2 linked regions of the Arabidopsis thaliana genome follow. The protein of the gene in region 1 interacts with the protein of each later gene in a biochemical or structural test. Each region holds a gene or a part of one and is shown in the gene's direction. Other genes may lie near its edges. The genes, in order: AFB3 and IAA7.

What was found.
Region 2: the proteins of AFB3 (region 1) and IAA7 form a complex in vitro, tested with the Arabidopsis thaliana proteins (one study listed by BioGRID).

The regions. Positions count from the first base shown.
Region 1 is NC_003070.9:4,368,004-4,373,320, reverse strand, and holds AFB3 (auxin signaling F-box 3), read left to right. Parts: upstream 1-2,022; 5' UTR 2,023-2,238; intron 2,239-2,375; 5' UTR 2,376-2,540; coding exon 2,541-2,992; intron 2,993-3,068; coding exon 3,069-3,564; intron 3,565-3,656; coding exon 3,657-4,442; 3' UTR 4,443-4,561; downstream 4,562-5,317. Other genes in the region: AT1G12810 (proline-rich family protein), read right to left, coding at 4,801-4,849, 5,203-5,301.
Region 2 is NC_003074.8:8,192,894-8,197,942, forward strand, and holds IAA7 (indole-3-acetic acid 7), read left to right. Parts: upstream 1-1,712; 5' UTR 1,713-1,874; coding exon 1,875-2,113; intron 2,114-2,670; coding exon 2,671-2,924; coding exon of another isoform or gene 2,925-2,935; exon of another isoform or gene 2,936-3,181; coding exon 3,182-3,317; coding exon of another isoform or gene 3,318-3,321; exon of another isoform or gene 3,322-3,629; coding exon 3,630-3,691; intron 3,692-3,782; coding exon 3,783-3,823; 3' UTR 3,824-4,262; downstream 4,263-5,049.

The DNA.
Region 1 (5,317 bases):
GACATGCGTCATTATGAGTCTCTCTCTCTCTGCTTTTTGGGCCTTTGGATTCATAGGATAAAAGGAAAAAGAATCTCATGAACCAACCAAAAGCTGGAAAAAGAAAATAGAAGAAGATAAGAGTTCTAGAAGAAAATTACAAAAACTTTTACCGATGATAGAGACCAGATGATTATCATTTTCGATATTCTAAGCTTTGATACCCCTGAATATTTTATTTTCTTACTGTTAGGTTTCTCACTTTGTCTTAAAAGGTAACCCAAAATTTTTATTTGGAAAGGAGAGAAATGCTTGAATATGTATTTTTAAGTAAATAATCAAATCTTGGACTTACTTTACCAGATAATTTAACTAAGGTGAGAGATGGGGGTTGGTTGCACAGTAAAATCCAATAATTCAGGCATTATCCGAGTCAACTGAAACCAAGATAATGGTGAAATATTTGGGGCTATCGATGGTGAAAATGGAGATGATTACTAAAAGGTGGCATTCACATGGCAGCCATTGTAGCATATGATGGGTCAAGAGAGAGGTGAAATCATCACTATATAACTTTTTTGGATTAAAAAATAATTTACTTTTACCAAGACAAGTGTTGATTTTCCAGAGAGTATGAAGATACAACAAAGGACTTAAACTTGTTTCTACATACGAGTAGCAATTAGGGAAATGTTTAGAGGATTATGAAAGATTATTAGTTGATAGTATGTGATAGTAAGTACTTGACCAATAATTAGTGCCATTTATTTTCAAAACTACTAAATTAATGGTGTGCTAGAGAAATGACTCTAATCTTTCGAGTCTCAACGAGTAGTAACAATGATTTTGTTTGTGTACTCTTCGTTCTTCCCCTTTTCTCCATGTAATAATCTGCAAGTGGGTCTATTATTGAGTTTGATTATGCCACCTTTTTGCTCCTTTTATATTCTTTTTTTCTTAATGATTTTTTTTTGGTTTATTTATCTAGTAGATATATATAAAAAAAAACTAATATAAATATTATAAATTCTGAATTTAGGCAGTAAAACACAATTAAACGATGATTTTTAGAATTTGTCTTAAATATACAGTATATGACAAATCGAAACAAAATGTACTACTTAAAAATCTTTTTATTGTTTGAATAGTAAACTTGTTTGTTTTCAATAGAGTTACGAATTAATCGAGATGGAACCCTACCCATAACTACCTTCTTTTGAAAAAGATGGGAGTTTGATTAGCTTTTGGATTTGTTTGGTTATGAAAACATAAAAAAATAAAAAAAATCTCATCAACTTCTAATTCCGTAAAAGGTGTCATCGTCCCAACGACAAATTTGCTTCTCTTCTTTTCGTTTATTCCACAGTTAACTAAAATTACGAGTTTATTTGACTATAAATTAACGAAATAAGTGTCTAAAATGGGGATAACAAATTTTTGACAAAAAAAATAACATGATGTGGGAATAACAACATACGTATTTGATGCAGTACGATACGACAGTACGTTGGATATTATTTAGTTTCTTCTTATTGTACTTTTTAACGAATTAAAAATACCGTATTATATTAGATTAACCAATAAATATTAATACACATCAAATATCATTTTCACGAATACTTTTCACATTGTTGCACTTTCTAACAACCGTGAAAGATTGATTATACGTAATCAAAAACGATTAAAACCAATAATAAATTAATTCAGTATGGAACATATTATATTTTCCTATTGGCCATGAAAGCTTTTACATGGCAATTTAGTAATAACATAAAAAGACAAGGGCATTGTACATGTCCCTTGCTCTGACACTAATGCATCACTTCACCCTTTCTCTTTGGCGAAAGGTCTCGTAAACCAGTGGTGAGCAACACATGCCATAACCAATTAACCATACCACTCCTCAACGGTCAAGATTCCTTTTTATGCTATCCATTGAACCATTCTCCTCCGTTGGATCATCCAACACCCAACAAGCTTTAACTTAACCATGGTTAGTTTTTTGGTCAGCTAGGTTAAAGCTTCTCTCCTCTTGATTAAATTGTTCCATTACAGAGTTTCTGGTTTTTTTTGGCTTGCGTGATCTCTCTCTTCTCTTCTCTCTCTCACTCATCCAAATCTTTGATCATCTCATCATCATTGGACTTGAAGCTAACTCCAGAGTTTTATCCAGATTCATCATTTTCCAACGTTTTTCTTCAATCGAATCATCAGCGAGTTTGGTTCCGACGACGATCTTAGTAGCTTCATAAGCTCAAGGTCTCGAAACTCTTTCTAGATCTAGCTCATTTACTTTCTTGTAGATCTGAATCTTAATCTCTGTGTTTAGTTTATCGAGTTTCAGGATCTGTTGTTTCTAAATTAGTTTGTATAATTTGAATCTCGCTTTGTTGCAGATTCTTCAGGTTTCGGTGGATTTTCTTGAGCTCTTCTAAGCTTCTCCATTTTGTGAGCCTCCGATTTCGAACCTGGTAGTGTTGTGGATCTCACTGGACCACGAAGCTTTCTTCACTGAGCTAAGCTTGAAGTCAATTCCTCTGTTCGACAATCAATAGAGGAAGATGAATTATTTCCCAGACGAGGTTATAGAGCACGTGTTTGACTTCGTAGCTTCTCACAAAGACAGGAACTCGATATCTCTGGTCTGCAAATCATGGCACAAGATCGAGAGGTTTAGTAGGAAGGAAGTGTTCATCGGAAACTGCTACGCGATTAACCCGGAGAGGTTGATCAGGAGGTTTCCATGTCTCAAATCCTTAACTTTAAAAGGGAAGCCTCATTTTGCAGACTTCAACTTGGTTCCTCATGAATGGGGAGGTTTCGTGCATCCTTGGATTGAAGCTTTGGCTAGAAGCCGTGTGGGACTTGAGGAGCTGAGGTTGAAGCGGATGGTTGTAACAGATGAAAGCTTGGACCTTCTTTCACGTTCTTTTGCAAATTTCAAGTCTTTGGTTCTTGTTAGCTGTGAAGGGTTTACCACTGATGGCTTAGCTTCCATTGCCGCTAATTGCAGGTAAAGGCCTTTCTTTTACTGGCGTTTCTCTAGGTTTTATGTTGTTTTTAAAATGTGTTGTTGTCTTTCTTATTAGGCATCTTCGTGAGCTGGACTTGCAAGAGAATGAGATTGATGATCATAGAGGTCAATGGCTGAACTGTTTTCCAGATAGCTGCACTACTCTTATGTCGTTGAATTTCGCTTGCCTTAAAGGAGAGACCAATGTTGCTGCTTTAGAAAGGCTTGTTGCTAGGTCACCAAACCTGAAGAGCTTGAAGTTAAACCGTGCAGTACCGCTTGACGCACTCGCAAGGTTAATGAGTTGTGCGCCGCAGCTAGTGGACTTAGGAGTAGGGTCTTATGAGAATGAGCCAGATCCTGAATCTTTTGCAAAACTCATGACTGCCATTAAGAAATACACATCGTTAAGGAGCTTGTCTGGCTTTTTAGAGGTTGCTCCACTCTGCCTCCCAGCGTTCTACCCAATTTGCCAAAACCTTATCTCTTTGAACCTCAGCTATGCAGCTGAAATCCAAGGCAACCACCTCATTAAGCTTATTCAGCTTTGCAAGAGACTTCAACGATTATGGGTAAGTTTGTTCTCACTTTCTCTTTTCACTGTCCTGAAGAAAATAAACTAACTTGCTAACCTGACAACAAATGGTTTTTATGGTTCCTACAGATATTGGATAGTATTGGTGACAAAGGACTTGCGGTTGTCGCTGCCACATGTAAAGAGTTACAAGAGCTTAGAGTTTTTCCCTCTGATGTACATGGTGAAGAAGATAACAACGCATCTGTGACTGAGGTTGGACTAGTCGCCATTTCCGCAGGTTGCCCTAAACTTCATTCGATTCTGTACTTCTGCAAACAGATGACAAACGCAGCGCTCATAGCCGTGGCCAAAAACTGTCCAAACTTCATCCGGTTCAGGCTATGCATTCTCGAGCCACACAAACCTGACCACATTACATTTCAATCACTGGACGAGGGCTTTGGTGCAATCGTACAAGCTTGCAAGGGTCTAAGACGGCTCTCTGTCTCCGGTCTCTTAACCGATCAAGTCTTTCTCTACATCGGTATGTACGCGGAACAGCTCGAGATGCTTTCGATAGCTTTTGCGGGGGACACTGACAAAGGAATGCTCTATGTGTTGAATGGATGCAAAAAAATGAGGAAGCTGGAGATAAGGGACAGTCCTTTTGGGAACGCTGCGCTTCTTGCTGACGTGGGTAGGTACGAAACAATGCGATCCCTTTGGATGTCGTCTTGTGAAGTAACACTCGGTGGCTGCAAGAGGCTCGCGCAGAATTCGCCACGGCTTAACGTAGAGATCATCAACGAGAATGAGAATAATGGGATGGAACAGAATGAAGAAGATGAAAGAGAGAAGGTTGATAAACTTTACCTCTACCGAACAGTGGTTGGGACTAGAAAAGATGCACCACCATATGTTAGGATTCTTTAGTCTCTTTGCACCTTCATGTGTTTTCAAACTTTTCTTTGTACTAGTTTTTGCCTTTTATCAAACTTGGAACAAATACAAATGTCGCATTTTATTATCACCGTAATTCAGCCATTGAAAACATAAATTTAGGTAAAATACCAATCACGTTTTCCAAATAATACAAATTACAATGACATCCACAAGAAACCTACTTGTCTAATCCATGCTCTGGATGAGTGCACTCTCAAACAAAGAGGTAAACATTAACAGACATTGACACACGATAGTACACAAGACATAGAGTGTTATGGCATATGTCTTCGATTAGACACATAATGCTGACAGTAAACGACGAGATCCACAGAGACTGGCGGCATTCTCAGAAGCAGCATTCCTCCAACAAACAGCAACAGCAAAGAGCAGCAAGACTGCAATTCGCAACCCACAAAAAAAAGGATTCCGTAATCGCAATTTGTAAGCAACATGATTAGGCTACTTGAGGTCAATCACAAATCTCTTACTAAAAGAAAAGCTGCAGATGATATAACATTTTATCTACAAACTTTATACTAAATATTATGGGGTTAAGAATGTAAAATAAAAGCCATTAGGTAGTTCTTAAGAGAGTCACTAGATCCATTGAAAAGTAAAAGATCCTGTCCAACAGATAAACATAAAAATGTGTCTATACATGGATAGCTCTAAACTCATCATAAAAAGACAAGAACCTTCCTTAGAAGATCAGCAAAGCACTCAGAGAACTAAATCTAAGGATTAATACGAATCTCTTGCTCTAAAATTTCGATAATTGGCCACCAAACAAAATGATAAAGAAGTCAAGTCAGGGTTCACAACGGAACTCTTGAGTTTCACATTATGGCTTATCCATAAATCAA
Region 2 (5,049 bases), on another chromosome or scaffold:
TAAGTTCATTTTTTATGTTGGGAAGAAGAAAATCGATGTCAGTCTTCACTCAGTGTCCTCACTAAGAACATGTACCTAGACCAATTAATAGATTCTCTGTTTATATACCACAAATGTCTATGCTTATTAATGAGTAGTACTATTCTTTTATTTTTAATTTTTTAGTAAGACACATTTAATAACCAAGATGATACAGAGAAAACGGGAGACCGTAAACAATTAAAATAATATACGTGACTTGTATAGTTGTATTGCTTGACACAAACTAATTAGAATGTTGACCAAATTTGGTTAACGGAATTTCACCGCCCAATTCCACTTGCTTTATATGCGATGAACAGTTGACCAGAGGAGACAAAGTGTAACAAATAGGCTATTAACAAAACATAGAAGTAATTAATACATTCATAGTTTATATATAGACATGTTGTGAGAACTTATTCTTTTCTTCTTTAACAAACAATCTGAATTCGTTTCATACTATATAAGTATTATATACTACCTAGTTATATGCTAGCTTTGTATTGACTCATAGAGTCATAGTACAAATGCTAAAATACTAAAGCTACACAGAGTGGTAGAACCAGCTGAAATATGTTTAAAACTACATGACCTAACCCAACCATTACAAATTTATAAACAAACTACATCCTGAAACTCCAGAATAGACGATGTAGCTCACTATGAACTATAATGTATGTTTAATGTCAGAACCAAATAAATTTAAAAAAAATGTCAGAACCGTACGAGAAGAACAAACAAAACTTTTTGTAGTTTGTTTGTATATATTTCTAAGTAAAAATGCTGAACACAATTATACAACCAATATATGTGATCTAATGTGCTATTTAGGAAAATTTGTCGATGATAAGTACTACGTCAGAGTCAAAAGACCCATATTGGTTTAGTCCGACTATTAGATACGAAAAGTCAAGCAAACATTACATGTAAATTTTGGTAAGATGTGAGAGATATATATGTCTTTTTTTTTATTTTTTGATAACAAAGATGATGCTAAAATACTTTTAGATCCAAACACCAATTATGAGATTCGGAAAAACTAATGTTAGAATTCGAACCATGATGGCCAATATTACATGAACTCAAGTGGCAAATTTTTTCACTCTTTTACTATTGGAGCAAGATGACTTGGTTATGTAAGAGATATGTTGCTCTCAATATTCTCATAGATCATCTCTTTCTTCAAATTGGTAAGATATGAGAAATATGTCCCATCTTTTTATTATCATACCAAAGTCTTTTATAAAATATATCATATATGTATATATATATATTGTCAAGAATAACTTGACTTCATACATACTATTTGAATTCGGATAGTATCACAAAACATCACTACCACGTAACTGTTGGAACTTCAATTTTACAAAGTATTTCCGGCTAACTTTTCGGCGAGTTTTTCAGTGAAGTTTGTCACAAAAATAAGAATGATCATATTTTTGGAATCTTTGTAATCGTTTTCAAAGTTTTCTCTCCGGATTTTCGCGGTTCTACAATAATTACATTACATATCATGATCAATATGTGACCTGATCCTCGTAGTTAATTAAAACATAATTTCCCGGTCACCATTCAAAACTTTCTAGATGGAAGATTAACAAAACAAAATTATCTTAGCTTAATTTTGTAGTAACAGAGAAGAAATGATTAACTAACATCTAATCAAGCCCACGTGTCATAAACCCCACCAATGAAGAAAAAAGAGCAAAAGACATGCACATGCAATTACACGAATACATACACCCCACCACCATCCTCCCTCCTTATATTATTATTGCCCCTTCCTCTCCTTTCTTCTTCCCCTCTTACCTTTTCAGAGAGAGAAACAATATTTCTAATCTATTACAAGTAACATGATCGGCCAACTTATGAACCTCAAGGCCACGGAGCTCTGTCTCGGCCTCCCCGGCGGCGCTGAAGCAGTTGAGAGTCCTGCCAAATCGGCGGTGGGAAGCAAGAGAGGCTTCTCCGAAACCGTTGATCTCATGCTCAATCTTCAATCTAACAAAGAAGGCTCCGTTGATCTCAAAAACGTTTCTGCTGTTCCCAAGGAGAAGACTACCCTTAAAGATCCTTCTAAGCCTCCTGCTAAGTAAGCTACACATTTACATATATATATATTCTTAGATTTTTTTTTTTTTTGGTTAAAAAGTTCTTAGTTTTTTCCAGTCCATATATATACATATATACGTGTTTATACACATCTATGTCTAAGTTCTTAGAATATTCGAATATATATAAATTTCATAGTTATATGTCCTCGCAGAACATAAATATTGTGAGGGATTTACATAAACATATGAATAAACTAAAAATTCTTGAAATTTGTAATGTTAGTTATATATATATATATATATATATATATATATATATATATACTTCCCATATACATTACCTTTTTTTGTTAAAATTTATATGCATAACTTTGATTCTTTGAAGTTATATTTGTTTTCTATCAATATAATACTAAGAAATAATATAATAATAATTAAAGCGTGGTTGAAACTTAAACACCAATACATACATGCGTACAAGCAAACATGAAATAATACATGTTATAACTTACAATCAAGCCCATAAAGGCAGTAATGGTAACTAATAATTACATTGGTTGATATACACCTATCTAAATAATGTTGTTCTATGTAGAGCACAAGTGGTGGGATGGCCACCTGTGAGGAACTACAGGAAGAACATGATGACTCAGCAGAAGACCAGTAGTGGTGCGGAGGAGGCCAGCAGTGAGAAGGCCGGGAACTTTGGTGGAGGAGCAGCCGGAGCCGGCTTGGTGAAGGTCTCCATGGACGGTGCTCCATATCTGAGGAAAGTTGACCTCAAGATGTACAAAAGCTACCAGGATCTTTCTGATGCATTGGCCAAAATGTTCAGCTCCTTTACTATGGGTACGTATTAGAAATTTCAAATCGGAAAGTGTGAAAAAACTATATTCGTATATTAAAGTATATCATTTACTACATTTATTCATACAAAACTCATGAACCTTACCGAGTTAGAGTCATAGAACTATACATTCGAACCCTATACATATTAACAAGATGAGATTTTGCTAAATGTATACAACTTAAATATGTATTATATATATTACACAATAATGACACATAAATTTATATGATTTTTGAATGTCTTGAATATCTTCAAGGAAACTATGGAGCACAAGGAATGATAGATTTCATGAACGAGAGCAAGCTAATGAATCTGCTGAATAGCTCTGAGTATGTGCCAAGCTACGAGGACAAAGATGGTGACTGGATGCTCGTTGGCGATGTCCCATGGGAGTGAGTCAAATTTAATCGTTTCATATACTTTTTTTTATAACTTATAACTTGACTCGTTAACCACATTTCCCGAAATTGGTAGAGACAAAGCCAAAGATATTCAACATCCATGTGTTATAAATACGTACAACCATGCATTGGTTGGCAAGAGACAAGAGGATCTTTCAAAAATTATACAATAGTATCGATATGTTTAGAGCTCATTCGTAGCTGGCACATCATCATATTATTGCCAAAAACCTTAGAATAAACTTTAAATGTTAACGACTCATATTCTAATGTTCTAACCGTAAACTTGAATACCTATTTCAGAATGTTTGTCGAGTCTTGCAAACGTTTGCGCATTATGAAGGGATCTGAAGCAGTTGGACTTGGTACATCTCTAACTTTTTTTTTTTTTTTTTGTTTTTCAATTTTTACCAATTTTCTTTTTATTTTAATATAATTCTGTTTTCTTGGTTATAGCTCCGAGAGCAATGGAGAAGTACTGCAAGAACAGATCTTGAATTAATAATAAAAAAAAAGAAGCATCAATGATCAACAATATGACGGGTTCTTGATTTTATATGTATTTTTATGATTGTATGTGGCTATCACCTATATATGTGTGTTGTAATTTTAAATACTTGATGGGTATATAGGGCAGTATTTTACCAGTAAGATGTGGACAAACTTGTAATGTGACCAAAAGAGAGGAAACTTCAATATCTCTGTGTTTGTGTCATATTTATTGCCCAACATGTGTCTGTCGGTTTGATGATCAATCACAACTTGATATGTGCATACATATAAATGTGTGTATGTAGGTGTGTGTACATGTACATGTGTTTTGATCCCTACTCTGCTACTTGTCGTTTCTTGTGTGTGTTATCTAATAGTTTTTTCCCAAAATGAATAATTCGTTGTTATGTTTACTATTTTACCAATAAAATCTTAGCTTTTTAATTCTACTCTCTAACCATTACTAGCGTTTTTTAGTTTTAAAAACTCTGATTATGTATTGACTTTTAGATGAAGTCTTTAATGAACAATTGAACATATCCTACAACCCACAAAAAAAATAAGAAGTAGAATTTAAAGTTGGTTTGTTGTCATTTCATCATAAATTGTGTATCCTAATTTTTTGGGACATGTGGTCCGTAATCTGTCATATTTTAAACTAACTGATGATTATATGTGTAGCGGCTTTACAAGATTAATTTAGTCATCATTTCAAAAATATGTTGAAATCAATATAATTTGTTTTCATTATTAAAAAAAAAGTGAGTAAGATACAGTTACAAAAGAGGATATAAAAGTTTTAATATTCGGATGTTTGTTACTCACTTACAATTTGTTACGACTTGCGAGTTATTGATGGTTCTTACTGGTGGATGGATGATGGATCATTAGATATATATATTGTATTCATATTATAGATTAATAATCTCATATAAATTATGTAAGTCGTTGATGCCTCCAAATAGTATAATTTGACCTCTTTTGCGCTCTAATTTTGTGGGAGGAATTTATCAAATTCAGGACCCATGAGAGGGGTAGGGAACAAGAGCATGTGCATGTTCATGGGTCTTTTAATTCATATGGCCATTATGTTATTGTAATTTGTACCCAATTTTCCCGATCACGAGAGGAAAATTTCATCCTATTTTATAATTTGTCTCAATGTTTGTGTCATATTCTAGTTAATCTATACTCGAATAATTATAGTATTCCCGATCGTTTTATAGAAATA